Linked DNA regions of Yarrowia lipolytica. The protein of the gene in region 1 purifies or fractionates together with the protein of each later gene. This does not show direct contact. Links are inferred from orthologs where the notes say so. Each region holds a gene or a part of one and is shown in the gene's direction. Other genes may lie near its edges.

The links. Proteins that work in one complex are often made in the same cells at the same time.
Region 2: the proteins of YALI1_F34729g (region 1) and YALI1_E00574g purify together in Saccharomyces cerevisiae (affinity purification with mass spectrometry; 3 studies listed by BioGRID). This does not show direct contact. The link is inferred for Yarrowia lipolytica from reciprocal best matches to the Saccharomyces cerevisiae genes LIP2 and GCV3.

Annotation. Positions count from the first base shown.
Region 1 is NC_090775.1:3,471,532-3,474,675, reverse strand, and holds YALI1_F34729g (uncharacterized protein), read left to right. Parts: upstream 1-1,755; coding exon 1,756-2,625; downstream 2,626-3,144. Other genes in the region: YALI1_F34737g (uncharacterized protein), read left to right, coding at 671-858, 907-1,000; YALI1_F34712g (uncharacterized protein), read right to left, coding at 2,935-3,144. UniProt on the Saccharomyces cerevisiae protein: Catalyzes the transfer of endogenously produced octanoic acid from octanoyl-acyl-carrier-protein onto the lipoyl domains of lipoate-dependent enzymes. Lipoyl-ACP can also act as a substrate although octanoyl-ACP is likely to be the physiological substrate.
Region 2 is NC_090774.1:55,586-58,667, forward strand, and holds YALI1_E00574g (uncharacterized protein), read left to right. Parts: upstream 1-1,902; coding exon 1,903-2,421; downstream 2,422-3,082. Other genes in the region: YALI1_E00551g (mitochondrial 37S ribosomal protein bS6m), read right to left, coding at 1-279. UniProt on the Saccharomyces cerevisiae protein: The glycine cleavage system (glycine decarboxylase complex) catalyzes the degradation of glycine. The H protein shuttles the methylamine group of glycine from the P protein to the T protein.

The DNA of each region.
Region 1 (3,144 bases):
GACTCACTTATCTTTTGGAGATGAGTAAATTGTGAGAGAGCTTTTTCTGAATAAATCTGAGAGCTCTATGAACAAAATGTGGTGTGCTGTTCTCTTCTCTGTTATGACTGCCAAATGCAGTGTGCATACAGTCGGTACATACCCCTCAACAAACAAAGCTACAAGTACTAAGTACAAGCATTGTGTCTCCATTATGGGGTGAGATCGGAAAAACGGCATATAATAAAATTCTTGGGGTCTCGCCAAAACACATTTACACGAAGCATCAGCATTAATCTCGTAAATTGTGTTTTGTGCAGCTTTTTGTGCCTCGTGATCCATTTTCACCACACCTCTAATGGTTAGACTCCACTTAACCCTCAGTTTATGCTCTCATCTCACCCTCCTCAAATGAAGCACCGGAAGCAGGTACATTACTCGGATAGTGCGGCTGTGGAAACGTACAATTTTTGTTTTATGGGTCACCGGGTGTGCCCGAAAGTGGCTGTGTAGCTCCAGACAGCTGACGAGGACGTGAACCGGCCATTGACAGACCGCTTGAGTGATTTTATCTACGTTGTGCTAAAACACTCAAGCTACTGTGCGCTATAAACTACATTGCTGTGCAGAGAAAGTGCTCCTACTGTAACTACTTACAGCTACTAACTAAACAAACAGACTACAATAGCACATGGGGCAGGTTGATAAGATGGTCCAAAAGAGCAAAAGCCGACAACGAGTCCGGGGACGCATTAAACACGCCTCATTATTGCTTTTGGGTAACCAGAAATCCTATCCAGACTCAGATTTGTCGAGCCAGAGTCAGACAAGTCATCAACGAGACGAGACGTTCCTTGATGGTGAGACAAATTCTAAGAGGTGAGGGACTCTGCGGGGTTGAGAGAGATTTCGTTGAGTTTTAATTAGAATGACAAATCCGACTCTTTATTGTTTATTGAGTGTCTCCATTAAAGACTGGATTTCCAAGATACTGAACTTCAATACGGACATGTATTTCTGATCTGATAAGCCTGAATTCAGGGTCTGGAGAAGAGAAGACGTTAGCAACAGAAAACAAGTCGTTACAGTACATTATGTACTTGTACGAGTACAGGAAGTACCGATAGTTGTGCAGTAGCTGAGTTGACAGTCTACCAGTAGCAGATAATATGTATTTCAGTGATAATTTCATACCCATTTGTATACCAGTCTCCAGCTCAATACTCCAGCAGTTATTCACTCGAAACACAGGTATCATCCACACAACACTCGGGGTTTCAGCTTCAATAACGACTTCGGAAACCGACTCACAAGCTCTTCTAGAAAGTCGCCACCTTCGAAACGACCTCAAATCCACAGATATAGACTCACGCGCAACCTCGGATAAAAGCTATCAGTGCATGATGGGCTCCGATACGCCAACGGGCTTCGGGTGTTTGATTTATGAATACAGTAGTGACCAGGACATCATCATTTGCCCAAATCATACAAAAGAGGCAATCTAACACAGTCCGAATAGCAGTACAAGGTCTATTCTAAGAGATTCTGACTCACTGATGAACGTCTATGCTTACTTGTGCCTGCGACACATTCAACATTCTCGACTGTTATTTCAAGTAGTGTATAGGCTCTCACTCTGTTTGACACTAGCAAATGCGTGAAGCTCCTAAGGAGTATATTTTGATTGCAAAAAATCAGAATAACAAATGAGACACAATTTATTCATCGTCCCGTTTTATTCGAGTTATTTTGTTTATTCAAGATTTATTCCATGAAATGCCGGCATATTTCCACACAGAATTAAGTTTGGGTGCTTCCGTGCGCTTTCGACAAATTCCACGTCTGTTTAGGCAAGAAACAATGATCTGGACCCGAGCTCGACCGGTGCGACCGCTGACACTCAACCACCTGCACATCCAGGGCCCCATCAAGTATTCTGATGCACAGGGCATCCACGACAAGCTTGTGCGCAAGTTTCTGGACTGCAAGAAGGAAGGCAAGGAGACGCCGGACCCGGTGCTTCTGACCTTCCAGATGCAGCCCGTGTACACTATGGGTCGACGGCAGGGCAAAGAAGACGCCCTTCTGGAAACCCCCAACCACCGAGAGACGAAATCCGAGCCGTCCGATGAACCAATTGATGTTTCCAAGGCCGATATCGCACACACCCTGCGAGGCGGAGAAACCACCTTTCATGGGCCGGGTCAGATTGTCGCATACCCCATTCTGGATTTACTGCAATTCCGAAAGATTAACGATGACGGCTCTGACTCGGCCCTGAGCCCCAAGTGCTACATCAGTCTGCTGGAGAGCAGTATCATCAGTGCTCTTGCCCAGTACCAAATCTTCACCACCCGAACTGAAAACACTGGAGTTTGGACCATGGATGGAGAGTCCAAGATTGCCGCTGTGGGTGTAAACATCCGACGAAACATCACTAGCCACGGAATCTGTCTCAATGTCAACAACAACCTGTCCTGGTTCGACCACATTGTGCCATGTGGTCTGGACGAAAAGAAGGTGACCAATGTGCACGAACAGGGTCCTCCCGTCAAGTATGAGGAGGTGGTCCACGATTACGCCTACTCCCTGGCAAGCTACCTGGACGTTAATTATAAGAGAGTCGAGAAGGAGGCTCAGGCTTAGGCCGTATGTACATACCTAAAGAGTTTTGATTTTGCAATAGGGGGTAAATTATAGCTGCCAGAACTGGATGGAAGACATGATTCAGATGATTTACTGGCATCTGATAACCTGTGCTATAAACTACTGTAAATGCATGCCACCGTGGCATACACCAGGTTACAGTGATAATGACACAAGCGTGCCTTAAGCCTCACGATGCAACATAGCTCCTAGAGCCACCTACCAAGTCACAGTCTGGTCACAAATGGCAAGCAATAGCACCCTCAACATGGGTAAATAAATTAAAATAAATACGTACGCCTATATATCCTACTGAGGCAACTTTCCATAGACACTCTTCCGCTTTTCCAGATTCAGACGACTAATCTCCATCTTCAGCTTCTCCCGTTCTCGCTGCAGCTCCTCAAGTTCTTGCAGTTCCTCCTCCGTGACCTCCACAACATTGTCAGCGTCACGGGGCACGTCAACCACTTCTCTTCGCGTCATAGGAAATTGCTCCAATCGGCTCTTATTCAGCTC
Region 2 (3,082 bases), on another chromosome or scaffold:
GCAAAAGGTTCGAATCAAACGGGGGTCAGCCTGGACAGCTCGCATGATTTCGCCCTGGGCTCCGGGAGAACAGTCGAACTTCATGTAGAAGTAGTCGCCGACCACGTAGCTCTTCTGCTGGGCCTTCATGATCTGGGGCAGGGGCTTGAATCGCCAGCACTCAATGAGGCGGACCACGCCTCTGTTGCCGATGATCATTCGGCCGATCTGGGTGACGGCCTGCTTGGCGGCCGCGTGTGCCGGAGTCACCGATGCGATTCCAACGAGTTCGTAGAGCATTTCGAGTCTGTTGTGTAGAGGGGTAGTTGGGATGCGATGACGTCGTGTGAGAGATGAAGGTTGAAAATGTTACTGGATGCTGCAACCTTATTTTGGCACTCTGAACATGGTCGGTCTGTCAGTACAATACGTGAGTAATTAAGAGCACTTTAATATCGAGCCGAAATAGGTAGGTCGGATATATGAACAATAAAGGAAATTTACCTGAGGGGTCTGGTTGCTCTCAAAGTGGATAAAATATATGACTGCGTTCATGTAAGCCAGATGCTGCTAACATTCATCTCTAATTACTGCTCAGGTAAAAGTCACGTGCATTTTTTGCGTTCGGAGCATGTACCAGTATCAAGTATGTACTGTACATACCTGGAAATGACCTGTGGGTGCAACATCTCGGACAAGTACCATACCGGCAGGTATTGTAGCTTGCTCTGAGAGAGTCGCTGTATGTAATATCACTGACTACAGTATTACGGGCAGATGGCGTTTTAACCTGTTTTAACCTGTTTTAACCTGTTTTAACCTACAGTAGGAAGAGCATTGATGGCCTGTCACATTTCTCGAGACCACAGTCCTGGTTAATGATGATTATTTGATGGGGTCTATTGATAAATGGTATCTTGCAAGAGCTATGAGTGCTTCTGGGATTGTTTCCATTTTTGTGCAGCTAACAGACATTAGTTAAATGATATTGATGATGTCCTGGCTTTCAAATTTTACCCAAGTAATCAGCCAACTAAGACACTTACCTAAGTGCCTGGAAAACGGTGATATCTCGAGATACTGTAATAGTACAAGTATTAGGAACGGCGCTGGAGAAAGAAAGAAAAAGTCTACCTCTCCTGTATATCATTTGAGAAGATATGGATTCTCGATCAACCGACACACGTCTGTACTTGTAGAATATCTGTCAACTATTTCTCAGCCACTCGACTACTCGTGTGTACATACTGTAGATGCCTGTTTGTAGCCAAATTTCGTACTGTCCCCTATTCAGACGGTCGCCTGAAAGCTGCTTCCATAGTATCCTCTGATGAAGCACCGAGCCTGCAAGTTGTGCACATAAGTACGCATCAGACCCATGTGCGGCTGAATCATTGGTTGTGTGGGGTGAATTGGACCGTGGTTCCAGTCTAGGGATGGCCCTTCAGGAGCAATGACAGATCACAGAAGGGGCCCAAGTATTCGATTTCTCGAAGCTCAAGTCGGCTTCTATCATGTCACCCGCGTCAACTGTACTCAGTGTTATCGTGTTCTCAGCACTGAGTCTGACAGGCAGCTGAGTACGCAGTTGCAACTACTGCACATTATCGTATCTCGTTAAGGCGGCTGTCTCAATAGTCCAAGGTTTAGTTGCCGGCCTAGAACAGCTCGAGTTTGTGAGCAACTGTGTGGTGTATATAGAGTCTAGGGTGGTCGGGAATTGTTCTCGTCTATATTGATTCTCATTCTTGTGATTCATTATTCACCCACATTTATCAGATCACCCCCACAGTTCTCTCTACTTCACTTACCCTACCTTCACTGAGTCAAACCGAGTCACCCCAATCCACCTAACTTAACTGTGGCCTACCCCAGACAACATATCGTTCCACCACCACAACTACACTCACAAAAACACACACAATGCTTCGAACTCTGGCCCGATCTTCCCTCCGATTCGCTCCCCGAGCCACCATGGCTCCTACAATGGCTCCTCTGACCATGATGCGACTCAACCACACCCTCATCAAGGGCTCCATTCCCGACAAGTACTCCAACAAGTACACCCTCAAGTTCACCGAGGATCACGACTGGGTTGCCTTCCACGAGGACGGCGTTGCCTTCATTGGTATCACCAAGTACGCTGCTGAGGCCCTTGGAGATGCCACTTTCGTTGAGGTTGAGGAGGCCGGTAACGAGATCGAGAAGGACGATGCTTTTGGAAACGTCGAGTCCGTCAAGGCTACCAACGACATCATTGCTCCCTTCGACTTCGAGGTGGTCGAGTCTAACTTTGACGTTGCCGACACTCCCTCTCTCATCAACAAGGAGCCCAACGGAAACGGTTACCTCGCCAAGGTCAAGCCCATCGAGGGTGCCGAGGAGACTGAGGGTCTGCTCACTGCCGAGGAGTACGATGAGTTCCTCAAGAACGCCCACTAATCGCTGTGAACATTTTACAGATACTTAGCCCGAATATATAGAGTAATACGCAGGTTGTGATCTAAGCCTGTTCCCGGCTATCGTGTTTGATTTTTTCTTTTGTGTCTACATCACAGAAGTGAGCAAAGTGCAGAATTTGTAAGCCCACTGCAACCGTCGTCTCGCCGGTACGAGGCAGTATGCAAGTACTGTACGCTACAAGTAGAACTATCTTCTTTGAGCACGTTTTCCTATAGCAAAGTAAGAAAATGTAAGGGGAGGTGCATGGTGAGGCCGCAGTCTAATGTCGGTATATGTCCGAGGGCACACATGACTTGGCGAACCAGGCCCGTAACGCTCGTACCTGCAATGCAGCGAAAATATACTGTCTCAGGAACGAGGATACGGCATCCGTGAGCGAGCAGCAGCAAAAGCAATTGCAATTGCATAAATCTCTACTCTCGAGGTGGTCCACTAAGAGTCCATCTTTATCAAGTTTGCTTGGCGAGCTATAGGTTTAACCTCATACCCGTTGGATAGTTGCTAAAAGGTCCCAAAAGTGAGCCCCCCACGACGTTCTGGCTAGCAATCTTTCAAAGTCAAAACGCCAACGTCTGAGCGGTGTTGTATCGATCTAACGGGATCTAACGGGATCTAGGGTTGTATCAGACAATCTCCATGG